Linked DNA regions of Pelodiscus sinensis. The main gene of each other region encodes a partner of the protein of the gene in region 2 in a complex. Links are inferred from orthologs where the notes say so. Each region holds a gene or a part of one and is shown on either strand. Other genes may lie near its edges. The genes, in order: RPL13A and GAPDH.

Region 1 (15,404 bases), on a different chromosome or scaffold from region 2:
TATGTTCCCCACCCTTGTTTTGTTTGCTCTTTACCCTGCGCGAGTGAGCTGGCTGGGGAGCAGCAGGGAGCGGGCGAACCGGGGAGTCTCCAGACGGGTCGGCCCCGTTGGGCCCCTGCCTGGCCCCGGGCCCCAGCACCCTCTTCTCTGTGTCCCCTCGCAGGCCTACTGGACCCGCTTCTTCCCAGCCTCCGAGCGGCTCTACTCCTTGCTCTCCCAGGGGGCGCTCGGGGAGCTGAAGATGGTGAGGATTGATTTTGGGGCTCCCCTCCTGGAGTGCCCCCGGGCGGTGCAGAAGGAGCTGGGAGGCGGGGCCTTGCTGGACCTCGGCTGCTACTGCGTCCACTTCGCCACCATGGCCTTCGGGGGAGAGAAACCGGAGTCTGTCCTCGCCTCGGGCTTCCTCCTCCCCACCAGTAACGGGCTGTAGGGCGGGAGTGGGGGGGTTGTGGGGGGCAGCGGTGGGGTGGGAGTGAGGGGCCCTGACAGGGGCTACGGGTCAGGAGTGAGGAGTAGTGGCAGGGCTGTGGGGGGCAGCAGTGGGGTGGGAGTGAGGGGCACCGACAGGGCTTGGGGGGCAGGGGATGCAGGTCGGGCAGGAGGGGCACCAGCAGGGATGGGCTGAGCTGGTAGGGGCTGCAGGGGGGAGGGAGGGGCACCGACAGGGCTTGGGGGGCAGGGGATGCAGGTTGGGCGGGAGGGGCACCAGCAGGGATGGGCTGGGCTGGTAGGGTCTGCGGGATGGGAGGGAGGGGCACCGACAGAGCTTGGGGGGCAGGGGATGCAGGTCGGGCGGGAGGGGCACCAGCAGGGCTGGGCTGAGCTGTCAGGGGCTGTGGGTCGGCAGAGGGGCCCCGGCAGGGCTTGGGGGGCAGGGGATGCAGGTCGGGCGGGAGGGGCACCAGCAGGGCTGGGCTGAGCTGGTAGGGGCTGTGGGGTGGGAAGGAGGGGCACCGACAGGGCTTGGGGGGCAGGGGATGCTGGTCAGGCGGGAGGGGCACCAGCAGGGATGGGCTGAGCTGGTAGGGGCTGCAGGGGGGAGGGAGGGGCACCGACAGGGTTTGGGGGGCAGGGGATGCAGGTCGGGCGGGAGGGGCACCAGCAGGGATGGGCTGGGCTGGTAGGGGCTGTGGGCTGGGAAGGAGGGGCCCCGGCAGGGCTTGGGGGGCAGGGGATGCAGGTCGGGCGGGAGGGGCACCAGCAGGGCTGGGCTGAGCTGGTAGGGGCTGTGGGGTGGGAAGGAGGGGCACCGACAGGGCTTGGGGGGCAGGGGATGCTGGTCAGGCGGGAGGGGCACCAGCAGGGATGGGCTGAGCTGGTAGGGACTGCAGGGGGGAGGGAGGGGCACCGACAGGGTTTGGGGGGCAGGGGATGCAGGTCGGATGGGAGGGGCACCAGCAGGGATGGGCTGGGCTGGTAGGGGCTGTGGGCTGGGAAGGAGGGGCCCCGGCAGGGCTTGGGGGGCAGGGGATGCAGGTCGGGCGGGAGGAGCACCAGCAGGGATGGGCTGAGCTGGTAGGGGCTGCAGGGTGGGAGGGAGGGGCCCCGGCAGGGCTGGGCTGAGCTGTCAGGGGCTGTGGGTCGGCAGAGGGGCCCCGGCAGGGCTGGGTGTGGGCTGCCCTCCTGCTCTCTCTCCTTCCCAGGCGCCGATGAGACGGAGTCCATTATCTTGAACTACCGGGGGAAGCGCCAGGCCGTGCTTACCTGCTCCATTGCGGCCCGGCTGCCCAACCAGGCAGCCCTCAGCGGCACAAGGGGCATCATCCAGGTGCTTGCGGGGGGGGGGGGGGGTGGCAGAGCTGAGGCTTGCGGGGGGAGGGGGGGTGGCAGAGCTGAGGCTTGCGGCGGGGAGGGGTCTCTGCCGTGGGGTGCAGAACCCAGGCGTCCTGCCTCCCAGGCTCTAACCCCCCGGATTGTGTCTCCCTGCAGCTGCCGTCTCAGATGTGGAGCCCGACGGAGCTGGTGGTGAACGGGCAGCGGGAGACGTTCCCCCTGCCGCCCCCCTCCCAGCCCCTCAACTTCGCTAATAGCACGGGGCTGCGCTACGAGGCCCAGCACGTGCGCCAGTGTTTGCTCCAAGGTAACTCGTGAGGGGGCACTGCTGGGGTGGGGAGGAGTTTGCAGCCCCCAGCGTATCCAGCGGGGGGCCCTGCTGTGTGGAAGCTCATAGCACCTAGCATCCAGCCAGGGCACCGCTGGGGGGAAGCTCGCAGCACCTCCTAGACTGACCCTTCTTTTTTCCCCCCCCCAGGGCTGAAGGAGAGCCCTGTCATGAGCCTGGCTCACTCCGAGCTGGTGGCCTCTATCATGGACGAGGTACGGCAGCAGCTGGGGGTGACGTACGCCCAGGACAGGGCCTGACTCGCATTTGCTCTTGTAAGCCCTGTTGACAACCCCAGATCTTTGGATGCGATTTCATCCGGGGCTGATCAACCTACCAGCGTGGCGGTACCGGGCCTAGACAGTTGTAGGGCACCGGGCGACATAGCTCGGAAATGAACACATTAAATGGATTTAAAACTGGCTGGCTGATGGTTCTCAAAGTGCACTTGTAAACGGGGAAGCACCATCGTGTCGGGGGAGGGGTTTCCTGGGGGGGTCCAGCTGGGGTGGGTGGTCGTGGGCCCTGAGCAAGTTAAGTTTTATCAAAGACCTGAAAGGAACCATAGCGTCCGCCCCGACACCGTTTAGCACTGGAGGGAAAGCTGGATGTGTCTGCCTTGACCACCGTGCGGCTCTCATGGAGCAAAACCCAGGCCTGTTTCAAGGCTGGGGGGAGGGATACCTCAGAGTTTAAGCATTGACTTGCTAAACCCATGGTTGTGAGTTCAATCCTCAAGGGGGCTGTTTAGGGATCTAGGGCCAATCTGTCAGGGATAGTATTTGGTCCTGCTATGAGTGTAGGGGACTCCAGTTCCATGACATAGGTATATCTCCATCTATTATTAAGGCTGGTGCATGTAAACACACAGGCAAGGTTTGCAGGGGGAGAGCTTTGAGAGGTAGGATTTTTTTTTTTTTTTTTTTTTTTGCACAATCATACAGATACAGCATGGCACATGAAACCACGCCAGGGACATCGGGAGGAACCTTGTATTGGTACATTTTATTCTTGATAAGCAAAAATTCCAGATACAGCCATAAAACTGTTAACTACAGTCCATATATAGTTTTGCAACATCCTGGCTATGTCTAGACTGGTATGATTTTCCGCAAATGCTTTTAACAGAAAAGTTTTTCCATTAAAAGCATTTGCGGAAATGCGCGTCTAGATTGCGGAAAAGCGTCCATGCCAATCTAGACATGCTTTTGCGCAAAAAAGCCCCGATTGCCATTTTAGCCTTCGGGGCTTTTTGGCGGAAAACAGTACTGTGCTGTCTACACTGGCCCTCTTGCGCAAATGATTTGTGCAAGAGGGCTTTTGCCCGAACGGGAGCAGCACAGTATTTCCGCAAGAAGCACTGATTTCTTACAGTAGGAAGTCAGCGTTCTTGCGGAAATTCAAGCGGCCAGTGTAGACAGCTGGCAAGTTTTTCTGAAAAAGCAGCTGATTTTGTGGACAAACTTGCCAGTCTAGACACAGCCCCTGCGTAGCAGGATGTACCCAGAACAGGGGCATTGTGCACTGTAGGTATCTTAGCCGACACATCATCAATTGGTAAATATTAGAATGACCAAGTCTCGCTTTGCTATAAAATGGGCTTCGTAAGAAGAATCGATGGGAGGGATATAATTTTTTTTTAAAAGACAATCTTTCTAAAAGCGCACCAAAAGAGTAAACCCAGAGGCTGCGTCTAGACTGGCATGATTTTCCGCAAATGCTTTTAACGACAAAGTTTTCCGTTAAAAGCATTTTCGGAAAAGAGCATCTAGATTGGCACGGACGCTTTTCCACAAAAGCACTTTTTGCAGAAAAGCGTCCGTGCCAATCTAGATGCGGTTTTGCTCAAGAAAGCCCTGATCGCCATTTTCGCCATCGGGGCTTTTTTGCGCAAAACGATTTTTACCTGTCTACACTGGCCCTCTTGTGCAAAAGCTTCTGCGCAAGAGGGCTTATCCCTGAGCGGGAGCAGCATAGCATTTCCACAAGAACACTGACACTCTTACATGAGATCGTCAGTGTCCTTATGCAAATTCAAGCGGCCAGGGTAGACAGCTGGCAAGTTTTTCCGCAAAAGCAGGTGCTTTTGTGGAAAAACTTGCCAGTCTAGATGCAGCCACTGTTTTCAGCTACCAGTTGAGGAGAAAGATTGGGTGGCTAACAGTTCGCAACTACCTTAAGTTGTGTGTGTGTATATAATTTTGTCTTTTTGGTCTTAAATATAGTGTGTTTCTGCTGCTAAAAACTCTGAGGTTCTTGCCCGCCTGGTGCTCGGGGGACAGTAGCAAAGTGCCGCCCATCCCAGCCCCGGGGGCAGCTTTGCTTCCAACCCGGTACCCTGGGGGCTCAGCCTCACCTTGTACCTGGCACCAGCCTGGTCCTGCGTGGTGCAGACCATCAGGTGGATGGTGCCCCCACGGCCAGGCTATCTGCCCAGAGAGAGCAGTGCCCGGGCACCCTTGGCCCGGCCCCGCAGGCGGGCAGCAACCAACCGTCCTCCCTCCCTGCCCACCTGGGATTCTGCTGCTCTCCCGGCGGCTCCTGTGGTCAGGCCGGGGGTAAAGCGGCGGCAAGAGGCAGCGGCAGAGGACGCCTGCTGTGTGGGCCACAGCAGCAGCTCCTCCCCGGGAGTGGAGCCGCATCATGCGACACTGAGCCAGGTGGCAGAGCACGCCTGCAGGAGCTGGTGGGGGTGGCCGCGTTGGCGCATGCGCAGGAGCGACAAGTTGAAAATAGGGTTGCCAGATACCTTCACAAAAAATCCCGAACAGGCAGGGAAAAATCGGTTGACCAAAAAAAAAAAGAGGTTGCTGTGCCTTTAAATTACCACGCTCCTTGCTCTCCCCAGGCCTCCCAGAGGACGACGGCCTTCCATCCAAGGAAAATAGAAAATACCAGACATTTTCCATGTCCAGTATTCTCTGGGCTTTTTTTAGCAGATGGAAGGCCAAAATACCAAACTGTCCGGATGAAAACCGGACACCTGGCAACCCTAATTGACAATCCCATGATAGACAGACAAGAATGGTAGCCACTTAATAGACAGATTGTCTAATAATAAAGAAGAATGTAGTTAAGTCTTTCTGGAGTGTCCTGGTTTCCCTGGGATCTAAAATAAATGGAACCACAGGCCAAGCAGATCTGTTTAATTTACATTCAAGTGTAGTAAAAGAAAAGAGCCTCAACACTGCCAAATTAAGGGGAATAAGAAAAGCCAAAAAGGAGTTGGAAGAACAGCTCGCCAAAAGCTACGTCTACACTGGCATGATCTTGTGCAAGAACTCTTCCAGGTGAGAGCGTCTACACCGGCATGTGCGTTTGCACGAGAGATGTGCGTTTGCACAAGAGATGTGCTTTTGCACAAGAGCATCCGTGCCAGTGTAGCCGCTCTCTTGCCAGTTTAACCATCGGGCTTTTTTGCACAAGTAATTCATGTTGCCTGGCTACACTGGCCTCTTGTGCAAGAACAGTTGTGCAAGGGGGCTTGTTCCTGCTGATTTCACACATTAGAACGTCCGTGTCCTTGCACGAGAACCCCCCCCCCCAGTGTTTGTGCACGATCGCGCCAGTGTGGACGCAGCCGAAAGGTAACAGCACGGACCGGAAGCAGGGAGCGGGGCTACCTCGGCCACTTCCGGGGCCCGCCCCTGCCTGGGACTCTGCTAGCCCTCCGCCCGAGGGCCTGGATTGCGTCACTTCCGGCCTCTCTGCCCTTAACGGCGGCGCCGGCGCCGCCTTCACGTCCGCCCGCGTGCGCGCTCACTTCCGCCCCTGCGCGCCCCGCGCCGGACGGGGAGACCCCGCGGCGTGCGCGAGGCGGAGCCTCTTTCCCGGCGGCCGGCGAGCATGGCGGAGCTCAAGGTGCGCGCGGGGACCGGGACCCCCCTCCCGGCCCCGCCCCCCGGGACCCCTCCCGCCCCCTCCGTGTCACCTCGGCTGCCCCCCCCCCCCGTGAGGGCAAGGAGCGCGAGAGAGGCCTCGTGGGCGGGGGGGCGTGTGGGGGGGTTAGGAGGGATGCGGGAGAGGTGGGGGGGTGGGGCGCTGGGGGCAGCTGGGGGGGTGGGAGGCTGGGAGGGGTGTGGGGGGGTGGGGGCAGCTGGGGGGCTCTGTGGGGATGAAGATGGGGGGGGGGCTGAGACCTGGGGCTGGTGTTGGGGGCAGGGGTTTGGCCAAGGGCTGTAGTGTCCGGGGGTGGGGGGGGGGCAATTCGAGGCCCATCAGGAACGGGGATGGGTGGCTGAAGCGGGACCCCTCCCCCATGGGTAGGAAACCTATTGCCAGCCCTCTCCCTTGGGGGATCCTAGTGGTGATGGGGGTGAGGTGTCACACCCCCGCCCCCGGCAGGGGCTTTCCCTAGAGCCAGCTGCTGGTGCCCCATATGAGTTTTCCCCTTTCCCCTGTAGCCAGCCTGTGAGGTGAGACCTGGACCCCCCCCCCATAGCTGTGACCCTACTGTCCCACATTCACCCTTTCTCTCTCCCCCCCCTCCCCCCCGCCAGGTTCTGGTCATCGATGGGCGCGGCCACCTCTTGGGGCGCCTGGCAGCCATCGTGGCCAAACAGGTCCTGCTGGGTGAGTATCGCTGGGGGGCCCCCCCAGGCCTGGAAATACCCCCCACACCTGGGCCCTGCACCCCTGAGGTCTGTGATGATGCTGTCTCGGTGCTCGAGTGTCACAGCCATGAGAGCGCCCGATCCATGCACTACCATCTGAGACCGCTACCGGGGGGCCAGGGCGCCTGGGTTCTACCCCTTTGGGAAGGGAGTGGGGTCTAGTGGTTAGAATAGGGACCTGGGAGGCTGGATTTGCTAAGAGTGCCTCTCCCTGGCCATGCTGTTAAACCCTCCAGTCTCCTCTGCCTCTCTCCTGACACCCAGGCCTTAAGTCCATGGTGATGAGCCCTGCAGGTCTGCGGCTGCCGTGCATGTCGGTATCCGCAGCTCAGTTTGCTCAGACAGGTGTGGATGCAAATGTTGTATCCAACAGGTCTCCAGAGCCGGGCTCAATGCAGGAGCAGAGTAGGTTTGCAGCCCTGAATCATCCTCTCCCCCAGGGCCCTGCTCGGCTGCTAGCCCCTGGGGTTGGACCCTGAGCTCATGAGCTGAGCGGCTTTGTCCTAGTCCCCTGTGCCCCCCAAGTCTCTGACCACGCAGAGCGGGGTGCCCCGTACTTCCTGGGCCCCAGGCTGGCTCCGCAGTGCTCCCCAAATGGCTACGGTCCCTCTCTGACTTCCTCCCAGGGCGCAAGGTGGTGGTGGTGAGATGCGAGGGCATCAACATCTCCGGAAACTTCTACCGCAACAAACGTGAGTGTCTCTGCCGGGCCGGGGAGCCAGGACTCCTGAGCTCTCTTGGAAGGGGCTGGGGCGTAGTGCGTAGAGCTGGGAGCCAGGACTCCTGGGTCCTTTTCCGGTCGCCATTTCCCTTGCCAGTTGCCTAGTGCCAGTCCCTCTCTGCTCTGTCTGTTGCGGGCACAGAGCGCATCCCAGAAAGGGGGCAGTGGGTGGGAGGCGCCTTCCCTGTGGTTGCATGGGTATTGGTTTAGCACCGGGTGCTGTATGGATGCCCCCAGCACTGCACAGACCCAGGCAGAGACGGCCCCTGTCCTGACCAGCTCACAAGCCCTCTCCCACATCAGGGAGCCGTGGGGCCGATTCTCTGGCACTGCTCTGTCCGAAGCCTGGTGGGACGCTGGGGTGGCACCTCGTCTCTCGGAGCCGGCTGCTGCAGCTTGGGCCTGACCTCAGGGCAGTCGGCATCCCCCTGTGCTCCCCGCAGCAGATCTTCCGGTTCCTGGGGGGCCCTGCACCCAACTCTCTCAGCCAGCATGAAACCCTGGGGCGAGGTTATTGGTGCACAGGGACACAGTGTAGAACAGAGCTGGTTAGCACAGAGGACAGGAGCCTTCAGTAAGTCTGTCGGGGGGGCGGGGCAGGGAACCCAGAGCCCAGGCTCTGGCCTTCCCCCTGCACCCCTAGCCAGCCAAGCCTGACTCACTTCCAGCTGCCTGGCTGTCCCCACACCTGTTGCTGCTTCTCTGTTGCTGGGGCTGAAAGTTACCTGGTCACGCCCTCCTGGGGCTTCAGTTCCAAAGGGCCAGCTGTAGCCAGCATGCAGGCAGCTGGAGTGTGCTTCCCCACCCCCAACACACCCTTACTCCTGCCACCTAGCCACGGGTGCAATCCAGAGGGAAACTGAGGCACCCACCATATTCCCGTGGAAAAATCCCAACTTCGTCACAATCCCCGAGGGTGGGAGGGGAAACCGAGGCCGGGGGGGGGGGGGGGGGGGGCTGCCTCCCCTGCCCTCGGTCGCAGAGCTGGGCTATCTGGGAGAATGGCTGCCCCGGCTCGCCCTGGGGTGTGGCCTGACCCTGCTCCGCTCTCGTTCTAGTGAAGTACCTGGCTTTCCTTCGCAAGCGCATGAACACCAACCCGTCCCGTGGGCCCTACCACTTCCGCGCCCCCAGCCGCATCTTCTGGCGCACGGTGCGAGGTAAGCCCCGGGGCCGTACGGGGGCGGGGGGAGCAGCTACAGGGCACCCTGGTGGCACCCATGACTCATTCCTTATAGTCTGATGGGGGAGGTACCTAGAGCTCCCTTCCATGGAGCCTGGGGGGCAGAGCCCCACAGTGCGGGGTGCCCCGGCCTGCTCCCAGCAGCTGCTGTTCCTTGCAGGGATGCTTCCCCACAAGACCAAGCGAGGCCAGGCTGCCTTGGAGAGGCTGAAAGTCTTTGATGGGATCCCACCGCCGTACGACAAGGTAAGGGGGCCCTGGGGGCCGTGTGGGGAATGGTGGGTCTTTTGTCTATGATGCTCTATCTACCTACATTGTTTGATGCTGGGTGAGAAAAACCTGTACCCTGAGACACCCCAGCCCTGCTCCTCTTCCCCCCACCCCCGTTTCCATCCCCCTAACGCACTCCTCTCTCCTGCCTGCACAGAGGAAACGGATGGTGGTGCCCGCTGCTCTGAAAGTCGTACGCCTGAAGCCAACACGCAAGGTACGTCCCTCCCAGAGCCCCTTTCCGCACCGGAAGGGGCAGGAAGTTGGATTCTGACAGACGGCTGTGCTGTCATGAGGCAGGTAGTTCCACAGCTTGAACAAAGGACTCTTCAAAGGCAAAACTTAGGTGTCATTAACCCGTGGGACTAACTGCCAATGGTAGCAGGCCATGGCCAACTCCAAGGCAGTAAATTCATTTGCCAGTTGCGTTAACCAGGGGAACTGCCTGCCACATGATACTGGTGCTTAGTTTGTCAGAGGTTCATTAGGCAGCAGGGTGTTAACCTATGGAGCTTATTGCTGCGTGATGCCTTGGACTGATGTCACATGGCAGCTAGTGACCAAGCCAAGGAACCACCTTGTATAGTCTGTGTTCAGTGCAAGTTGCCTGATGGTTCCTGTGCTGTCGGTCCAGCGATGCCCTGGCCATGCCTGCCAGTGGCCGTACTGTACCCTGTGTTGGCAACTGGCACCTCGGGCGGTCTGTGATGATGCTAATTTACTTGTTTTCGAGTCTCACGACCATGAGACAGCATCCTACATGCACTACCATCTGAGACCACCATGGGGCGCTGCACGACCTGGCTCGCCTTGGATCCCATGGGAAGGGGGTTGGGGGGGCGGGACTGGGGAGCTCGGTTGGATCCCTGGCTCTGGGAGAGGGAGTGGAGGCTGGTGGGTAGGGCTGGGAGCCAGGACTCCTCAGGTCTGTCCTGACCGGTCTCCCCCCTCCCCCCGCAGTTCGCCTTTTTGGGACGCTTGGCCCATGAGGTGGGCTGGAAATACCAGGCCATCACCGCCACGCTGGAGGAGAAACGCAAGGAGAAATCCAAGCTGCATTACAACAAGAAGAAGAAGCTGATGGTGAGCAATCCTGGATGTCGTTGGGCCTTGCACGGCCCCCGTGGGGGAGCTGCCAGCAAGAGGGGGGGAGGTATAACCAGCTCCGTGCACCGCCCCTGAAGCGGCCGCATCTGCCCGCTGGCTATGGGCTTCCTGCATGAGCAGCCCTCATGCCCTGCCCCAGAGGAGTTGTCTCGCCATTGGGTGAGAGGTCCCCCAGATCCTCAGCCCTGGAACCCCACCCCAGAGGTGGCTGCATCCTTCGTTCCCTGCCATCTGCCTGTAGAGCTTATTTCAGTGGGGTCGGGGTGCACTGCAGTCGTCAAACTGAAGCTCTGTGTCCCCCTCCCTGGTGTGTGTGGTGGGGGGAGGCTGGGCGTGCAGAGCATGGCCCATACAAAGCGTCCCGGGGCCCTGGTAGGCCAGCCCCAAGCTGGTGCTGGACTGGGTGGAACTGCCCCTGTGCACCCTCCCTCCCCCATCTGAGCTAGGGATGTAAAATCCTGGTTCATCGGCTAACAGGTTTAACTGGTTAATCGATTTAATTGGGATGGGGGAGCCCTGTGCACTTCAGGCTGGCTTCTGGGCCTCTTCCCCCTTCCCTCCCCCCTGTACACACAGGCTGCTCTAGGGTGACCAGTTCACCTTCAGACTAGGGATAGGAACGGGTGAGTGTGTGGGGCAGGGCTGAGCATTCGAATCAGGCCATATCCAGTGTGGGGCCAGGGCCCTGTTACCAGGGATGTCCCCTGAATCTTGGTCTGATGCCTCCGCCTGGCATGTCTTGCAGAAACTGCAGAAGCAGGCAGAGAAGAACGTGGAAGGCAAGATCGCCCGCTACACGGCCGTGCTGAAGCAGTACGGTGTCTTGGTCTGAGCCTGTGACCTCAATAAAACTAGTCCCCTCGACTTCCACCCGGCCCCTCTCTGTGTCTTCGGGGCCTGGCTTTTATCTCTAACTGCAGTCTCTAGCCTCCAGCGGCTGGGCCTTAGCGTTGGATCCCCTCCCGCTTCCGGCTGCTCTGGTTTTCAGGAGGGCTGCAGGTCTCGGGGGCATGTGCCTTCCCCTTCCTGCCCCGGCAGCCCCAGGCACTGTGGGTTTGAGAGCGCTGCAGGGGCGTGTTCAAGGCCATCTCCCCTGTGGGGCTGTAACTCCAGTGCACTGGGCGCTTCCCTGCAGGCGAACCACCTTGAGAACTCACCAGCCGTGAGCTGAGGAGACGGCTGCTATGCAGCGGCTTGGGCCTATCTTGTTATAGCTCCTTGGCCTGGCTCGTCTGACCTCCTGTGTGACAGGGCCCTGGGGCTGCCTGCAGTGGGCCTGTACAGGGACTGCTGAGGGAGGGTGGCTCCTGTGCCCCTTCTGCACACCCCCCCAACACTTTTCCACTCAGAATTTGTCTTCATCAGCTGGGGACTGGCAGCGGGGGAGTCCCCTGTGGAAATTTTTGATGTAATGTGGATGCTGCTCTCTTCTCTCCCCACCCCTGCCCTGGGCTTAGCTCCACCCCAGGCCTGACACCTCACTGTCAGGCCGGTTTTCTGAGCCTTGCCTCATCCCTGCTCGGATACGTCGTTCCCAGGTGTTGCCTCGGCTGGGGAGTTCAGTGTGGGCTGGCTCTCCCCTCTGCCCCTTCCCTGCTACTCCTCAGCTGGGTTGTGTGTGTGGTGAAATGACCCCCCCCCCCCCCCCGCTGCTGTCTGTGTCCTTAGCCCCCAGCCCTCCTGCGGTGGGGGAAATAACTTCCTGGTGTGCCTATATCCTAGGGCTGTCGGAGGTGCCCTGGGTAACCGCGACCAGGGTGCCTGTTGGTCAGTGGTCTTGGTTAAACGCTTCCAATTTTTAGTGGTTGCGCGGTTCCCTGATGGAACAACTCACCAGACCGGCTCCTGCCGCTGGAGGCAGCGTGGGGCGTAAGGGGGCTGGAATTTCTGTGGGGCACCGGGCACTGAACGTGGGGCAGGGTGGGGGGCTGCGAACGAGGGACTTCCCCTGCCTGACTCACCCACAGGCTTCCAGCCACTGGCTCAAGCTGACGATTAGTCGGGGGCAGGAGCAGGCAGGGTACAGGAGCAGCCTGAAGCTTTCCCTTATTTTTGGAGTAGCTACCCCCCTTCTCTGCCCAAACGATTGTGCCCAGCGGGGGCAGTGTTGTCAGGGGCCCTGTATCTGTCCCGGGCCTCCCCCTCTTTGGGAGGGTGGGAGAGGGGGCTGGAAGAGAAAAGAGACAATCCCAGCTCCATGCAGCAAGCAGCCACGGGGTTGTGTTTATTGTAGCCCCGGCCTTGGGAGCAGACACGCCCGCAGCGCATGCCCCGGCCAGGGTGGGGTGCGTCTCCCTCAGCCCTGCCGGTCCTCGGGGTAGGTCACCCCCAGCTGTCGCCGCACTTCATCCATGATGAAGGCCACCAGCTCGCTGTCAGCCAGGCTCATGATGGGGCTCTCCTTCAGGCCTGGGGGGGAGGGGGAAGAGCTCAGTGGAAGGTGGGGGTCACAGCCAGGCTGTGAGCTTCCCCCTGGCAGTGCCCAGCCTGCTGCTGAGAAATGGGAGAGAAACCCCTGGGCCTGAATTCCCTGCTTAGCCCACTAGACCCCCCCCCCCCCCAGGGCTGGGGAGAATCCTGGTTCCCAGTGCCCCACCTCCCCCTCTGCTAACCATTTGACCCTACTCCCCCTCCTAGGGCTGGAGAGAGCCCAGGAGCCTCCCCGCCCCCCTCACCTTGCAGCAGGCACTGGCGCACGTGCTGGGCCTCGTAGCGCAGGCCGGTGCTGTTGGAGAAGTTGAGGGGCTGGGAGGGGGGCGGCAGGGGGCTGTCATGGCGCTCGCCGTTCACGAACATGGTGGTGGGGGTGTACCAGGGGGAGGGGAACTGGAGGGGTACAGGGAAGAAAGGGTTAACAGCCCCCCCATGGGATCTGACCCCCCCCCTCAAACTGGGGAGAGAACCCAGGTGTCCCCCCGCCCCAACCACTGGACCCCACACTCCCAACCAGTGTTTCTGGTTCTTCCGCTGGGGCTAGAGGCCAAGGGCTGCCCCCCCCCCCGCTCCCTCCCCACTCACTTTGACGTAGCCCTCGGTGCCACAGACGATGGCCTCGCCGGGGACCTCCACCCGCATGGTGCAGGACAGCACGGCCTGGCGGTTGCCTGCGTAGTTCAGCACCATGGCCGCCGTTTCGTCCACACCTGGGGAATGGGGAAACCGCAGCCCTCAGGGGCCCTGCGTGCTGAGCCGCGGCCCCTGCCCTTCCCTGTCCTGCCCCCTGCCCTGCCCCTTCTGGTCTCTAAGCCCACCCCCCCACCGGTGCCTCTGCCCTGCCCCCCACCTCTCTGCCTGCCCTGCCCCCTCTCAATCCTGCCCCCCACCCTGCCAGTGCCCTTCACTCCTTCCCCCCACACCTTGCTATTCCCTCCCTCCTGCCCCTTCTCCCTGTCCTGTCCCGTTCTCTTCCCCTCCCCAGTGTCCCCATTACCAGTGGGGTAGAGGAAGCCTGAGGCTATGATGGACTCCGGCTTCTCCCCCCCGAAGACCATGCTGGCGAACTGGGCGCAGTAGCAGCCGAGGTCCAGAACGACCCCGCCCCCCAGCTCCTTCTGCACCAGCCGGGGGATGTTCTCCATGGGGTGCCCCACGGCGACGCAGCTTAGCTTCACTTCCCCCAGGGCTCCCTGGGCCAGCAGCTCGCGGAGCTGCTCCGAGAGGGGGAAGAAGCGGGTCCAGAACGCCTGGGGGGAGCAGGGCAGAATCAGTGCTGGCCGTGAGGGGGCGCTCTCCCCTGCCTGGCTGGGCTGCCCCAGGGGATCTCGTGTCAGACCCACAGCGCGTTGGGCCTGCCTCTCCCTTTGACACCCACGACGGGATGGGTCCCTTCGGGGCTGGCTTACGGGTGGGGTCGGCTCCAGCCTGTTGGGGCCTGTCCTGCCCCCCGCAGATCCCATGCAGCCGACTCTTCCCCGGGGCTAGCACAGCCCCACCCCCAGGGCATCACGGGATGGATCCTCTGGGAATGTGGATGGCCGACATCCGGCACACGGGGCGGTTGGCGGCCTGGCTCAGGGCCACCTCGGCTGGGGAGTTTCTCGGACTCAGCAATTTCCGATCTCCAGGCGTGGAGAGGAGGAAATAGGGGACGGGACGCCCCTTCTAAAGGCTGCCCTGCCGGTGCTGGGGGGTGTCAGCCCCCGCTCCTTTGAGCTCTCAATGTCTCCCCCAGGGGCACTGGGCGGCAGGGAACGGGGCAGGAGGGGGGAGCTGCAGGGGCGCTAGGGAGCAGGCCGAGAGCCCAGCAGGGGGTACAGGGCTGCAGGAAGTGTGTGGGGAGGGCCCAGCAGAGGGTGTGTCTGTGTGTGTGTATGGGGGGGGTCACTCACCTCCATCAGGAAGACCCCCCGGCTCTGTGCCACCTGCGCCAGCTCTCTCACCTCCGCCGCGTTCATGCCCAGTGGCTTCTCCAGCAGCACCGGCTTCCCGGCCTCCAGGAAGAGCCGCCCCACGGGCAGGTGCTGCGGGTGGATGACCCCTACGTAGACCACGTCTGCCAGGGGAGGTGGGAAGAGGGGATGGAACCCAGGAGTCCTGGCTCCCGGCGCCCCCCCTGTAACCACTGGGCCCCACTCCCCTCCCAGAGCCAGGGAGAGAACCCAGGTGTCCTGCTCAAGTTGCCCCTCGCGCTGCTTTTCACCCTTCCCAGATCAGGACCCACAGGTAGGGGGGTCTCGGCCTGCCCCAACCATATCGCTGGGCTCACGCACTGCCCCGAGGGGACAGGGGCCCCATTCCCCGCCCCCCTAAGCCAGCTGGGTATTGCCCCATTCCCCGCCCTCCTGAGCCAGCCAGGCATTGCCCCATTCCCCGCCCCCCTGAGCCAGCTGGGCATTGCCCCATTCCCTGCCCCCCTGAGCCAGCTGGGCCCTGCTCTGGGGCCGGGTGGGAGCCGGCGCCCCCAGGGTCTCTGGGCAGCTCACCCACGTCGGGGTCCTGGGCCAGCTCCTCGTAGCTCCCGTAGGCTCGGGGGATCCCGTGTTTCTCGGCGTATTCCTGAGCCCGGGTCAGATCGCGGGCGGCGATGGCTACGGCCTGGGGCGGGCAAGGATGAAAGGGGGAGCGAGACACCCAGGGGCCCCCCATCCAGCACCCCTTAGATAGCGAGTACGGAGCAAAGAACCCAGGAGTGCTGCCTTCCCCAGCTCCAACCACTAGCCCCCGCTCCCCTCCCTGAGCCAGGGAGAAATCCAAGGACTCCTGGCTCCCAGATTCCTCCCCTGCTCCCGCTCAAACCAGTACCCTCTGCTCCCCTCCCTGGCTCCCAGATCCCCCACCCTGCTCTAACCACTAGCCCTTGCTCCCTTCCCCAGCTCCCAGCCTCCCCTCCGTGCTCTGACCACTAGCCCACACTCCCCAGCTCTAACCACCAACCCTCACTCCCTTCCCCGAGCCCCCACCTGATGCTCC
Region 2 (14,843 bases):
TGCCCTACACCAGCACCCAGCCACCTGGAGAACACAGGTAAACCCTAGGACAAAGTGCCAGGATTGGGGGAAAAGGTTGCATCAGAGCAGGGGTTGGGAACCTTTTTTGGGTCAGGGGCTGCACACAAGTGAGAAGCCCCCCCAAAAAAATCAACCCCCCTTCAGACATGTTCCTTGAGGAAATAGCCACTCCCCACATTGCCACAGTGGGGCAGAGGGCTCCCGCAGCACTGGAGTAGAGTCCTGAGCCTCAGGGGCTGGATCCAGCAGGCTAGCAAGGGACTGCATTTGGTCCCTGGGCCTGAGGTTCCCAACCCCTGCAAGAAAGAGTTGGAACTGGCTGAGTAGAGTATGGGGCGGAGCATAAAATAGGCTAAACTTGAGGGGTGGGTGTAGAGTGGAATGCAGATCAAGGCTTAGGCAGGAAACTGAAAGTGGCTAAGGAGAACCGGGCAAGACTGAACAGTTGTAGGAAGGAGCAGAAGCTAGAATGGGCAGAAGCAGCAGTTGCCAACTGCCCTGGCTGCTGGGTGGCAGCAGCTGTCAGAGCTCAAGCCAACTGTTCACAGCAGCTCAGCTCTGGCAGCCATGGTGGCTAAGGCAGCAAGAGGAGGCATCTCCCTCCACACTTGTGGGGCAGGGGAGAGAGGGGGCACACACCCCACCAATGGCCTTTCCCCATGCCTGCGCGGCCAGTGGTAGAAGGCATCTTCCTCTACCCTTGGTAATGGCAAGGCTCCCCATCTCTACCTATGGGGGCACAAGACATACTTGGGAAGGGGGGGGTAATGAAGGAGGGCTGCTCCCCTGTCTGCACAGCAGTAACAGCCACATTCCCTAGAGGGGGCAGCCTCACTCTAGGAGGGTGAGGTGTGGCAAAGGAGAGTTGGGGTCACAGGGCAAGAGGATGGTGGCATGGGCTGTGGGGAACAGAGGGTATTAGGCACTGCAGAGCAAGGGGCTGGGGCAGGTCTAGGCAGAGGGTAACATTTTATTTACATATCCATTCCTTGGATAATAAGCAACTATGTTACCAGGCCACCAAACAGTTTGTGAATGGGTTCAGTCTACAGCATAAGAGGCTGGGAAGCACTGGGCAGGAGCAGAACCTGCTCTTCCACCTAGTTGAAGGGGAAAGCCAGTGTGCCACTTTCTTTATTCCTCCGCTATAGAACACCTATGCCTCTACCAGCATTTGCTCACTGCGCTACCTCACAGTTGATTCTTCCCCACTAATGAATCACATCAACTGCAACATCAGCACAAGCTGAGAAAGCCTAGTGAAATTACAGCCCCCCCTCTTCAGTACAGCCACACCCTCAGATGACAGGAAATGGCAAAATATGAAGATACAAGAGTCTCTCCCCACCCCCACCCTTATGATAAAGGCTTTAATTAAATGCTACAGGTATGCACTCATTAAGGGAACAGTCATTGGAGAATGAATCATGGATGTGTATAAGAGATTAAGCAGGCACATAGGCTATGTCTAGACTGGCATGATGTTCCCAAAACTTTTCTGTTAAAGCATTTCCAGAACAGAGCATCTAGATTGGCACAGACGCTTTTCCGCAAAAAGTGCTTTTGCGGAAAAGCGTCCGTGCCAATCTAGATGCGCTTTTCCACAAAAAAGCCCCGATAGCCATTTTCGCAATCAGGGCTTTTTTGCAGAAAACAAATCTGAGCCGTCTACAATGGCCCTTTTACGCAAAAGGGACTTTTGCCTGAATGGGGAGCAGCATAGTATTTCCGCAAAAAGCACTGATTTCTTACAGTAGAAGTCAGTGCTTTTTCAGAAATTCAAGCGGCCAGTGTAGACAGCTGGCAAATTTTTTCAGAAAAGCGGCTGATTTTACGGAAAAACTGGCCAGTCTAGACACAGCCATCGTGAAAGACATCCAAATATTCTGAAGATTCAAGACTCAAGTGAATGAGATTACTCCTGAAGCTGGGCCTCACGGGGCTGCCCCTCTCTGTAGCATGAGCTTAGCAATGCATCTCAGCACACAAGGGGGTTGCGAAAATAAACATTTTCAGGGCAGGGTTTAGATAATAGACAGCAAGCCCTTGAGCTATCAAGGGGGGAATGGGGGAGGAAGACTACCCAGAAGCCACTTGTACATACACCTACAGCTACTGTAATATATAGGTTAGGACCCAATTATTACAAAGGCAACTTTTCCTAGAATGGGTGACTGACTTAACAGCTGCAAACAAAAACTACACTAGCCTAGTAAGTTACATGATACACTTCATTTCTTACACAAAGTCGAGTATGATCAGGGACAGAGCATGAAATATTTAGTAGCTGGTTGTTTCCATTACAGTCATGGGCCTTACACCCTTACTTGTACACCATCCCATCTGTACACTGAGCAGGTTTTATTGCCATGACACCCATAGTGCCTAAGTACCTCACACCATTCATGTACCTTAATGCTAAAAGGCAACTTAGGAAAAAGAAAGCCTTAAAAAAAAGTGTGGAAAAGTGCCCATCTTGGCAGACCTATAATCTGATATTTTCCAGAGTTGCTAAGCCCTTGCTAATCTGATCTGTAACTGCAGTCAATCAGCATTTGTGAAAGTTGGCTTTAGTTGTTAATTGTGACAACACAATTAGTGGCCACACCTGAATGCTAGTACTTACACACATGCCCTATAGGTTTTAGGAAAAAAGCAGTGTATATGATCATATAGCTTGATTGCCTCACCAGGCAGATTTAAGGCTCCCTTAACAACCTTTCTGTTGGCATGTCCCAGGTTGATTTTTTTGGCTTTAGAATCTTAGCTTTAGTCTTGTAAACTAAAAATGTCATATACAATAGCTGCATTTCCTAACCCATAGCCCATTGGAGTAGTGGAAAAATCCCAGCCTATGTCAATAGCCACAGCAACATGCTAGGAACCCTTTGTGGCCTCTCCTCCTCTTGAGAGAAACAGGAACACTTCAGAACAGCTATTACTTTATTTGAGAAAATGTGATACACAGGCCAGCGTCTGTTGGCTTCCCCCTCTCCCTCACGCTTCAGGCACAAGGCAGAGGAATGGGGAAGAGAGGATGAAACAGAACTGGATTCTCACTTAAGGCTACAGAGCTGCATGGTGGGGAGAGAGGGGTGGGAGGAACAAAGGTCTCCGGTATGATTCTCCCACACCTCCTTCCCCAGGCAGAGACTGATCCATGTGCCTGGTTTATTCCTTCGATGCCATGTGAACTAACAAGTCCACAACACGGTTGCTGTATCCAAACTCATTGTCATACCTGGTGACAGAAGCAGAGAAAGAGCAGTTAGGAATGGACAAACCTCTACATCCACAACAGGAGCCTCCTCACCCCCAAGCCAGGTCCCAGAACAGCCCCCTTCCCTAAAGCAGGGAAAAATTGGAGGCTGAAGTTTGTTCGGATACTAAGGGTCAACTTCATGCTGAGAGGTCTTTCTAGCCCTCCGACCTGCGCTCCTGATGTGGGCGCTGCCCTGCCCCCAAGTCTTGATTGGCCTGGGGGCAGAAGGGGGAGCGCTAAGTCTCCTCTCACCACTGTGGAATCTGGGGGGAGGGGAGGAAGAGAAGGACTTCACATGCTCCCCCACCCTCAGACCAATCATGGCTTGTGGGAGGGGAAGCGTCCTGGCCCAGCCCCTTCCGGTGCACCCCAGGGCCACTTCAAAAATTTCTAAAATGGCTCCCAGCAAAAAATTATTGCCCACCCCTGTTCTACCCAGGTAACTGCCTCTTTGCCAAGCAAACTGCTGCTGGCTGCCAAGTGTTAATTTTAGATGGAGGCAGCAGAGGGAGAGCATGTAAAGCTTGCCGTAATAGGATCCTTGCCAGCACCCCAAGTGCCTCCCAAATCTTCCAACCTATTGCACAGAAACAACCCTCCAAATTCCTCAGATCCCCTCTCCCCGTACCAGGAGACCAGTTTGACAAAGTTGTCATTGAGAGCAATGCCAGCAGCCGCATCGAAGATAGAGGAGCGGCTGTCACCGTTGAAGTCAGAAGAGACAACCTGGAAGTGGGTAAAGAGGAGACACGGTGACTCACACCCCCTTCTGGCCTCAACTCCTTCCCCCACCCCACAAAGAGATGTTAATCGGCACCTTCCTTCATGAACACCCCCAAGAAGAGAAGGGTGTACTGAAGATTTGGTGTTCCATAAGGCTGCTTCTCCCCACATCCATGAAGACATTCATTACATTCCCCCTCCCCCGCTGTTGAAAGGACATGGGAGTTTACCTGGTCCTCCGTGTATCCCAGAATGCCCTTGAGAGGCCCCTCAGAGGCAGCCTTCATCACCTTCTTAATGTCGTCATACTTGGCCTGAGGGAGAGAGACACAGGAAGTCAGAACATCCCAGACCCCATGGCATGGCAGCTGCTCCCCAGGGAAGGTTGCTGCCAGCTTTGAGACTGCACTGCTAAGAGTATAGTTAGGACCCAGTTATGTCTGGTACTATACCAGACAGGGGCAGCTCCCCACAGGCCTGACTGTACCCCTTGCACAATCTCTTAAATCACAAGAAACAACAACAACAGTTCTAAATGGAATGGGGGCTTCAGAACAGCTGCACCCAGTCCCACACGTTGAGGAATGGATAGAAACTTAGGGGTAAAGGGAAGTTGCTCCAAGTCCCTTTTTGTGATACTCACTGGTTTCTGCAGGCGGCAAGTCAGGTCCACAACAGACACATTGGGAGTTGGAACACGGAAAGCCATTCCGGTGAGTTTCCTGTGAGGGAAACAGATCAGAATAGACTCCTGCTTGCCCCCAAACAGGGTTTCTGCACATCCTGCTGAGGAAAGGGCAAGACCGGCCAGCTGAAGGTTCACTACCCCTTCTGATGAATCCCCTGCTTTGGGGCACTGGGAGAAGGAACTGACACTCACCCGTTCAGCTCAGGAATGACCTTGCCCACAGCCTTAGCAGCTCCAGTGGATGCTGGAATGATGTTCTGGGCAGCACCTCTGCCATCTCGCCATAACTTCCCAGAGGGGCCATCCACAGTCTTCTGCGTGGCTGTGATGGCATGGACAGTGGTCTGGAAGTTGGGGGAAAAAGGGGGAAGGGTTAATTGAATTTCTCTAGAGCCTCACCCTGCTGACCTAGAGCATTCCTCCCCCAGCCTTCCTCAACTTTCCTCTAGTCCAGGCAGTATAGGGAGACACTCCTGCTCTGTGGGTTCCCAATCCTCCTTCCTCTACACCCAAAACTGTGGGTTGAGGAGTCCCAGCTTGAGTGTGCAGAGACACCCCTCCCCCCCAAAAGCTCCATGGTTCTGTCCCACTGACAGAGCTGGTGTGGGTTTTTGCGCCTCCAGATTACCTACCATGAGACCTTCCACGATGCCATAGTTGTCATGGATGACCTTGGCCAAAGGAGCCAGGCAATTGGTGGTGCAGGAGGCATTGCTGGAAGAGTCAAGAGGGACACATTAGCCAGAGGCAGTTAGTCAGGGCTCACCTCTCAGCTCCCTCCCCACAACTCACAAGAGAGGGCAATAGTCAGCTATGCACCTCAGGTTCAACCCTGAGAAGACTCCTGCAAACTGTCCCCCTCCTCACCTGACAACTTTCAGAGAATTGTCGTATTTCTCATGGTTGACGCCCATCACAAACATGGGTGCATCGGCTGAGGGGGCAGAAATGACGACACGCTTAGCACCCCCCTTCAGGTGAGCCTGAGGGAGACAGACCAACATTAACAAAATCCTATATCGCTCCAATACAGCAGCACATTTAGGACACCTCCCCAAATAATCGCACTGCAATACAGCCCCAGGGCAGAGAGAACTCTGTCCACACCCACTTCCACATGCAGCCAAGAGTCTCATCCCTACACCCTTTCCTTCCCACTTCCAAGCCAGATGTAACCCATCACTCACGCTGGCCTTCTCTGTGGTGGTGAAGACTCCAGTGGATTCTACAACATACTCTGCTCCAGCATCTCCCCACTTGATGTTAGCAGGATCACGCCTGAGGACGACACCAGAGTATTTAGAAACTGCAAGGCTGTCAAATGCCCTGTCCCCTAGCTCCAAGGGAAAGGGGAGGAAGAGTCATACTCACTCCTGGAAAATGGTAATTGCCTGTCCATTAATCACAAGTTTTCCATTCTCAGCCTTGACAGTGCCATGAAAGCGACCATGCGTGGAGTCATATTTGAACATGTAAACCTAGGAGTAACAGACTGAAGTTGAGTGCTGGCTGCATTGTGTTTCAACTCCCACAGCCCAGGCATTAACTCTGGGCCCCTCAATCCCAATGTGTAGCCATGGGCACTGGCAGGGTTCACAGGGAAATGGTATCACTGATAGCCACATTCCCAGGCCATCCCCAGAATGCTCCAAGTTATAGACCAGGGTTCCACTCACCATGTAGTTGAGGTCAATGAATGGGTCATTGATTGCTACAATCTGGACTTTGTCACAGGTGAAGGCAGCTCTGGTGACCAGGCGGCCGATGCGGCCAAATCTAGGCAAGGCAGAGAAGAGGCGAGCCTCAGGCAGAGCAGGGGAGCCCTGTGCCGATGGGTGCTGGCCACTCAGACTGGGCTTTAGCCCCAGCGGCTGCCCCGATGCAAAGGAGGCCCCCGCCCTACACTCCTCCCACCCAGCCAGCCGGGGCAGCAGGGGCCGGGAGCCGGGCAGCACACAGCGGCGCCTGGAGCCCCGCGCCCCCCGCTGCTTGCTCCGCCCCCGCCGACCGGGCGCTAAATTTACCCCGCGGCCCGGGTCCGGTTACGGCGCGGCAGGAGAAGGTCACATTCCCCGGGCCCGGCGGGACACGCGATACCCCGGCGCCCGTCCCGGGCCGCATGCGGCCGCCCGGCGCTTCCCGCTCGGGGTGACTCGCCCCCCCCCCCCCCCGGCAGCGGCGGGAGAAATGACTCAGCCGCCCGCCGGCGCTGCCCAGCCCGGTGCCCTTGCCACGCCCTTGGCGCCCCCCCGTGGCCGGCCCCCCCCGCCGCTCACCCGTTCACTCCGATCTTCACCATCGCGCTTCTGCCGGGATGCGCCTGCGGAGAGAGCAGGGGTCAGACGGCAGCGGCACCGCCCCCGGCTTCAGAGAACTGGCCCGAGGGCCTTGAGCCGCCGGGCCCGCCCCGCCCCCCGTGCGGCTGGACGGGCGGGACCCAGCGCCCGCCGGAGCCTCCAGGCCACTTCCTCCCCGGCCAGCGCCCGCCCCCCAGGGCTTTGTCGCCTCCTTCTCCCCAGGGCTTGCGTCGCCGAGCACCGGCAGCCTCAGCCCCGCGCCCCCCAGCGCAACCTCCCCGCAGCCTCCACCTCGCTCGCCCCGCCGGAGCACAAAGAGACTCCGGACGCAGAGCCCCACATGCCCGGCCCCCCGCGGCCTCCTTGCCCAGTAGGGCGGCGAGATGCAGCCCGCGCCCCACTCCCACCAGTATCCCGAGACTCGCGCTCCGGCCTGAGCCACCCCGGCGCGGCCAAGTGCCGACTCCCCGCTGCGGCTGAGAGCCCTTACCTGGGCCCTGCCTCTCAGCCACGCGCCTGCAGTAGGGGGAAGGTGAAGGGAGGGACTCTGGCTGCCCCGACCTTTATAGATTTCCGTATGGTAATCGCTGGGCCCAGCCTTTCGAGCAAGCGGCAAATCAGAGGCGGAGGGCTACGTGCAGCCCTAATGCTGAGGGGTTACGCGCCTCCTCTTCCCACGCCCATTTTTGGCCCTTCTCTCGCACTCCCTCGCCTTACAAAGGAGACTCAGGGGGCTCCCCCTCCCTCTTGCAGGCCCCACACAAGCGAGTCACATGTACAGATCCCTCCGATGCGCCCACTTGCTGTGCAGAGGGGAAATCCAATGTAGCTTCCCGTGCAAGGCGGTGAGACCAGGCATGCACTGGGCTTCGCCCGCTACCTCTTTTCTGTAACCAGAAACTCAGATGGGCACAGGCCCAGCCATCGAAGCTTGAAGTGCCTTGTGAGGCAGGGGTGGCTGGGACAGGGAACTGTGGGGATGTTAGGGCCCCAGCACAAGGGCCCACGGCTTAGATGCTATTGTAATGCCAGGGGCACTAAGCGGCGTCCCCTGCGCGCCTGGGTATGGGGAGGGGTGAGTTGAAAGCGCAGCAGGGGAGCAGATTACAAGTGGAGGGTAGATAAGGTGCGTGAGAAGGCCAGGACTGGAAGAGCAGGAGAGTACAGCCCGGCCCTGAAGGGTTAGCGCAGACCGGTGGGGCGGGCGATTATCCCCTTTCTCAGTGGGGTTTATTCTTTCGGTTGGTTGGCTCCAGTGAACTCCCTGCCGGAGCCCCGCCGCTGTGCGGTGGGCAGGGGAAGGACTCGCACAGCAATCGGAGCACAGTGGCGAGGAGGGGGCCGGAGGGGACGCGCACACGTGTCTGCGGGATCCCTCGATGGGGGCGCCTGTCTTCAGGGGCTCCGTCGGTCTTCCCCAGAGAGAGGACGAGGGGTCTGGAAGCCCCTCCCCCTCAAAGGGCCGTGCATGGGGGATGGGCCCCAGGGCTCTTCCCCGGTGGGAGCAGGCGAGCTGTCTCCACTCAGCCTGAGTTACACCTGGCGCTTCATTCTAGCTCGCGCTCGGAAGACTGGCAGGAGAGCGAGTGCGCCTCTACCACACACAGTACGGTAACCTGGCCACAGGCTCTGCGGTGGGGGCTGGGCGGGAGTTGCACAAGCCCCCGGGCGCGGAAGGAACGGGGCACAATTGTCACGTGGGCTGAGCAAGAAGGGGCTCGGGCCGGTGTATAGGCAAAAAGTGAAACCGCTCCGTTTTTGTGACCGTCACAGTTTCTGTCACGCACACATGACATTCGGTGCAACTGCTCAGGACTTGCTCCCTTTGCTGGCTGCTTGCAAATTCAGAGAAACTGTGTTTTTGGGTAGAAAAATCTCTGAGTTTGCTCAGTTCGGGTGCGCAGGCTCAGTGCACCCAAAGTCACAAATCCTGAGAAGTTAAGTGTTTCGGTCGCTGCACCGGCGCCTGCGGGAACAACTTCCCCGAGCCGCCCCCGCAGCAGCCTGGCACCGCCGGGGCGAGCCTGGGAGGATCCGCACCCTGCGGGCCCCTGTCCCTCGGCCCGGCCCGGCGCTGCCGCCCCGCCCCCCGCCACAGCTCCCTGGGCCTTTCTCTGGCTCGGCGCCCCCGCCTTGCCCCGGCCCGACGTGCTCAGCCTGGGAGCGCGGTTCCCAGGCGCTGGCCGGCCTGGCGTCCCGCCCTCGGGCCCGGCTCCAGCAGGCCGCGCTCCCCAGCGTGAGGAACATTCAGTAAGGCAGGGAGGCTGCTACCCGCGGGACGTGACTGCGGACATCCTGCCTACCACCTGACTCGCCCGCTCGCGGGGGGGGACAGGGCGTTTCCGTGGCTCGGGGCCTTGTGCGCGGGAGGGGGAGCACCCGCGGCAGGAGCTGCTCCTGGGCCGGGCCCTGCCTGGCTCACAGGCCGACCTCACCTCACCCGTGCAGCCCCGGGTGGGAGCCTTGCAGGATGAGCTTTCTCACAGCAGTGCCCCGGCGACGCCCTGCCCGAGCTGGGATGCCCGCCCCCCAGTCAGCTCGGCTAGGAGTGGCAGTGCCCAGCCGGGGACAAAAATCCCTGGTGCAGAACAGATCCCCCCTCCCCTGGAGCCGCGGGAAGGGTGAGAGCTGGAGCGTGTTTCAAACAACACGTTGGAGAGCTCTAAGGAGTCTCCCTTTCGTGAGACCGGGTGAGCTATGGAAATGCGTGCGGATAGTAAAGGAGTAAACCCTTCCTCCGCCCTGGCCCTGGCCCTGCCTACCAGGACTGGGGGGACAGTAGCATAGGCGCCGTAGGGAGAGGAGACAGTAGGAGAAAGCAAAGCACAGATAGGAATGGGTAGCAGAGCAGATACCAAGAGGAGCAGAGACAGGTCAACTGGTTAAGAAGTAATCCAACTCCCCTCATCCAGATGCTATTCCCAGGGCTGGGAAAGTGGGAGGGAGCTAAGTTTAGCTCGAATTGAAGTTATGACCTTTAATTAAAGGCCACAGGGATGGTCTATACCACACCAGAGGAGTGGGGACAGTTTGGTACTTCTGACCCACCAGGACATGGGGCAGATCCTGGGCAAAATGTTGTAGAGAAGTCAGGAAGAGGAGGGGATGGACGTTCTCTCCTGAGCTACTTGAGCATTTGCACTAACAAAAGGGCCTGTGTTGGCTGGAGAAACACACATTGCTGAGGACTCTGTGCAGAAGGAAGACAGACCAACCAAACAGCTGCAAACTGCTACACCCTGATCCTAGCAACCACCACTATAGTGCCTCTTGTTGGGGGAAAACCAGCACTGAAGTAGCTAAGAACCACTCCCACCAATGGTCCTGCTCCCCACTACAAGACCGACCAGGAGTAGAAAACACAGGTGGTACACATAGTTTACAACATGCCTGCCCGTGGCTCTGTACCATGGCCTCTGGACCTGGAAAGCAGTTTCTCCTGTGGTTAGCAGGAGAGAGAAGTTGACTGTGAAGCTAACAGTCTAGCACAGGAAGTGGAAGGAAGAGGGCCCAGGCTGCCCCATTAGGAGATAACAGGGACCTAGGCATGAGAGTCTACCAAGGGAAAAGCCTGCTCAGCAGCCAGTGCATTAGCAACCACGCTGTAAGGCTCTGGCTTTTCTGTGACTGTGCTGCCATCGTGAAAGGGGAGGTAGGATGGCAGCTTCAGCTGTGGAGTTTGGCAAAGGGGAGACAAAGGAATGCAAGTTGAATGGCTGTTACATAAGTATTAGGTCAGGCTGGGACAGCTGGTAAGATGAACACAGCAGAACAGTGTCTACTGAGGCAAACAGTCAGACAGGAGAGAATGAAAGAGAAAGACGTTCTAGGGCAATACAGGACAAAGTCTTTCCCCAGCAAGGAACCTGTCTGGATTCAGCCACTCTCTCTCACTAGCTGTAGGATGACAGGAGATTGTCCAGATTAGTACACACTGAACACCTAGACTGAAATGGGAAACTGGAGCATAAAAGATCAGGTCAGTAAACTAACTCCAAGGGGCTGCACCATGCCTAAGATGCTGCTGCCACCTGCTGACAAAAACACACCAACCAACACACATGCTTTTATTCATAGAGCAGAATACAAATAGATAGGAGGCTCCCAGGGACTAGAAGAATTTTTACTTTGAGGGTAAGAGTCCAGTTCCAGTCTGACTCCAGGGCAGAGGAGGTGTTTGTCTCAGAGGCTTGAGGAACATAATACACTTTTTCACCTCTCTGGTTTCTGTCACCCTCATTTCTTTCTACAGGATATCTCTTTTTCCACAAATAATACCAGTCCAAAAAGGGCTGTTGCAGAGGTTTTATTACAACTGGTGTTGGACTAATTTAACTCTATAGGCAAATTAATTACATATCTGTTTATTTACAAACATATCCTTATGCACAAAAACTACCACCAACACTAAAACATTCAGAACTTCAAACAGAAGAACAAAGGCCATGAGGATTTGTTTAAGGTCAGACTTGAGGAGCACTGGCAGAGCTGCACCGCAGGTGAGTGAGAGGTATTGATACAGGTGCACAACTGTGCAAGAAGGGGGCTCTGCCTACACTAAGCAGGCACTGCACTGTTAGGGGGCAGTTATGTTCAGCCATCTTTACCAGTTTCAGCCCCCCCCGCCCCAGTTTGGAGCACAAGACAAAAGAGTTGAAGGACACTAAGCAGTTCATTTTGAATTGTCCCAAAGGACAGGCTGAGTGCCTGTAACTCCTATGTCTAGGGAAAAAATATGTACCAGTCACACAGCAAACGAGCCAGCTTGCCATAATAAATTTTAAAATGACCTACCTGCACAAGGCTCAGCCTCACATCTCTCGCCTCCATAGCCCATAAAGAGAGCCTCGCTCCATAATTCCTTATTCCTCTGCTTTCCCCCTCTCCCTTCCCCCCAGCACTTGTGTCCTTCATGAGCCCCTTGGCCTTTGGACTCACCCACCTTCATGCATCCCAGATCCCACTTCTGGTATCCCCCCTCTGCAAGACTCCCCTCACCTGCCTGTTCCCCTGATTTCAATGCTTGTTCCTTTGTCCCATTCCAGAACTAGCATCCAAGATGACTGGATATGCCAATCTGATCCAACTTTAGCTCAAATCAGCCCTTGGGCATTGCCTTCCGTGAACACTCCTCAGACAAATGCCCACCTGTGATTGGCCAGCATCTGACACCCAAAGGATACCCAGCCAGTATCTGCTCTGTATGGAAGGAGCAGTGTGGGGCTAAGGGGAGCAACTGAGGCTCAAAAGTGGACCTCTCCCTCATGTTATCTCTGGCCCGCATGGATTCAGACTCCAAGAGCAGCAGCTGGGAAAGGAATGTCTCTAAGAAAGGGAGACAGACACACAGACCGAAAGGAGACAGGTTGAGATCCAGAGTATCCTACTCCATCCTGATTCACCTCCTTGTCTTCCCTGCCCTGTAGCCAGGTGATTACCCTGCTCCATCCCATCAAGGGCTAACAGTGTCAGTGCCCATCTGTGCAAATCCACACTAACCCAACCCAGCTTCCAACAGAGCCATACTTGAGAGGAATGTGGAGAAAAGGAACTGGTGCCTCCAATCTGGTGAAACAGCATCATAGGGAACAAGAACTTTGCCCTCTGCCCCAATGAGTGTGTGTGGATTCAGATTAGATTAAACTGAGTTTTCGAACACACTAGATTGTTTTTCACTACTTTCTCCCCTTCTGGCATGAGTACAGGACAAAGGTTGTTTGCATGACATACATTTGCTTGTTTGGCTTTCTTTGAAATTTAAACTCCAGTTATTAACAGGTTAACATATAGTTTTGAGAATATTACAACATTCCTCTTTGCTGTAAATGACTGATATATACCTACTTTAACTTAATTTGAATGTTTGTTAAACTACATTAATAAACAGTAAAAAATCTTCAGATGCAGTATTTCAAATGATCGACAAATTATTTAAATTCTACATCAAATTACTTAAATTTTAACTGTTAATTCTTTCATACTTTCTAACTACTTTAACTAGCCAATTTAAATAACCAGAGCAAGGTAAAGTGGGCTTATAGAACTGTTTTTGCCAGAACACCACAACACAGATGGAGCATATATCCTATTTTCCTCCTCTTCATCCTCCAAAATGTGTTTCTTGAACCTCCCTACTGCTTATCCTATGCATACACTCCCTAGACCTCCTTATGTTACCATGCATGCACTCACCCCCCTCCCTTTGCTCCTGGCCTACCTGCTCAGTGGTTCTCATGCAATGGGTGACTTGATATTTAAGTTAAACAACAAATGGTCTGGTAGCCCTTTATAGACTAACAAAACATGTAGATGGTATCATGAGCTTTTGTGGGCACAGCCCATAGGCAGTGTAGCTGTAGGCATGTCAGTCCAATTAAAGCTTGCTCTTTCCCGGGGGCAGGGCAATTTTTAGAGTGGGGATACTAAGTGTCTGTCTTTCACTTACAGACACAGACAAAGACCCCCTTATGCTTCTTCCTGTCCCTCTGATGGTTGACAACTCTCCTGACTGGGTTGACCAGATGCCATTTGCAGCAGTGGCATCCAGTCTGGGAGACTTGGCAGCCCTATCATCTCTCCATCCCAGGTTGGAGCCGCAGCTGGGGTGCAGGGAAGCTGGATGCAAAACCTGGAAGTGCTGCAGCACACCCTGCAACCCTAGTGTCCAGAGATATGCTTCTTACCCACTTTGTCTCTAATTTAAGATACTTTTTTTGTGTGTGTTAATTTTCATGCTGAAAGTACAGCGGTCATGAACCATTATTCTCAGTTGAGTTGAAGTTACAGCTACCCTGAAAAGGGTAAAAAATGGTTACTTACCATCTCATAACTGTTGTTCTTCAAGATGTGTTACTCATGCCCATTCCATATAGGAGTGAATGCACTGGGCTCATCAGAAGGTTTTTCCCTCAGTGGTACCTGTTGGGCCAGCAGAGAGCTCCCTGGAGTGGCGCCTCCATGGCAGCACATATACCCCTGCCAGCCCTCCATCCCCCCAGTTCCTTCTTGCCGAAACTCTCTGATGAAGGGAAGACGGGTGGGATTTGGAATGGACATGAGCAGTGCATCTCAAAGAACAGCAGCTATGAGAGGTAAGTAACTGGTTTTTCTTCCAATGATTGCTCATTTCCATTTGAGGTAGGTAACTCCCAAGCCAAACCCAAGGAGACGGGGCTGGGGCCTATCTGGAAATGGACTGCAACACCACTCGACCAACAGCTGCATCATCTCCGGTCTGCTGCGCTATGGGGTCATGGGTTGCGAAAGTATGCAGCAAGGACTAAGGGCTGCCCTGTAAATATCTAGGATGGGTACCTGTCCCACAAAGGCAGCTGACAAGGTGTGGGCCCTAGCGAAGTGAGCCGTAATGGGGAAGTTGGCAAATGGGCCAGCTTGTAACAAGTCCTGATGCAGGATGTAATTCAGCAGGAGGTAGGCTGGGCCAAAACTGAGAGATCCTTCATCCTGTCAGCTATCGAAATAAACATCTGCAGGGACTTGCAGAAAGGTTTTGTCCTATCTAAATAAAAAGCCAAGGCACGTCTAACATCTTCCTGATTGACATGAAACAGACTCCACCTTGGACAAAAAGGCAGACTGTGGGCAGAGCCTAACTTTATCTTTAAAAAAACCAGTGTAATGGGGATTGGAGGTTAAAGCTCAGGGCTAAGGCATCCTCCTAGCAGAAGTAGTGGCCACTAGGAAGGGGACCTTCCAGGAAAGATGCAAAAGACAGCACGTTGCCATTGGCTCAAAAAATGGGTGCCATCACCCACCTTTATAAGCACCAGCTTAAGGTTCTAAAGTTGGAGAGGCTGACGTACATGTGGATCTAACCTGTCCAGCCCTTTCA

What was found.
Region 1: GAPDH (region 2) and RPL13A share a complex: the UniProt entries of both Homo sapiens proteins name them as parts of the GAIT complex. The link is inferred for Pelodiscus sinensis from reciprocal best matches to the Homo sapiens genes GAPDH and RPL13A.

The regions. Positions count from the first base shown.
Region 1 is NW_027465977.1:1,539-16,942, forward strand, and holds RPL13A (large ribosomal subunit protein uL13), read left to right. Parts: upstream 1-5,875; 5' UTR 5,876-5,947; coding exon 5,948-5,962; intron 5,963-6,600; coding exon 6,601-6,673; intron 6,674-6,738; exon of another isoform or gene 6,739-6,820; intron 6,821-7,340; coding exon 7,341-7,406; intron 7,407-8,493; coding exon 8,494-8,595; intron 8,596-8,778; coding exon 8,779-8,864; intron 8,865-9,045; coding exon 9,046-9,105; intron 9,106-9,585; exon of another isoform or gene 9,586-9,670; intron 9,671-9,848; coding exon 9,849-9,971; intron 9,972-10,740; coding exon 10,741-10,827; 3' UTR 10,828-10,865; downstream 10,866-15,404. Other genes in the region: DHDH (trans-1,2-dihydrobenzene-1,2-diol dehydrogenase), read right to left, coding at 12,292-12,404, 12,671-12,821, 13,014-13,138, 13,426-13,678, 14,324-14,487, 14,918-15,029, 15,395-15,404. UniProt on the Homo sapiens protein: Associated with ribosomes but is not required for canonical ribosome function and has extra-ribosomal functions.
Region 2 is NC_134711.1:138,807,660-138,822,502, forward strand, and holds GAPDH (glyceraldehyde-3-phosphate dehydrogenase), read right to left. Parts: upstream 7,597-14,843; 5' UTR 7,482-7,596; intron 7,018-7,481; exon of another isoform or gene 7,015-7,017; 5' UTR 6,994-7,014; coding exon 6,971-6,993; intron 6,471-6,970; coding exon 6,371-6,470; intron 6,173-6,370; coding exon 6,066-6,172; intron 5,973-6,065; coding exon 5,882-5,972; intron 5,678-5,881; coding exon 5,562-5,677; intron 5,409-5,561; coding exon 5,327-5,408; intron 5,039-5,326; coding exon 4,887-5,038; intron 4,729-4,886; coding exon 4,650-4,728; intron 4,321-4,649; coding exon 4,237-4,320; intron 4,010-4,236; coding exon 3,912-4,009; intron 3,263-3,911; coding exon 3,193-3,262; 3' UTR 2,947-3,192; downstream 1-2,946. UniProt on the Homo sapiens protein: Has both glyceraldehyde-3-phosphate dehydrogenase and nitrosylase activities, thereby playing a role in glycolysis and nuclear functions, respectively.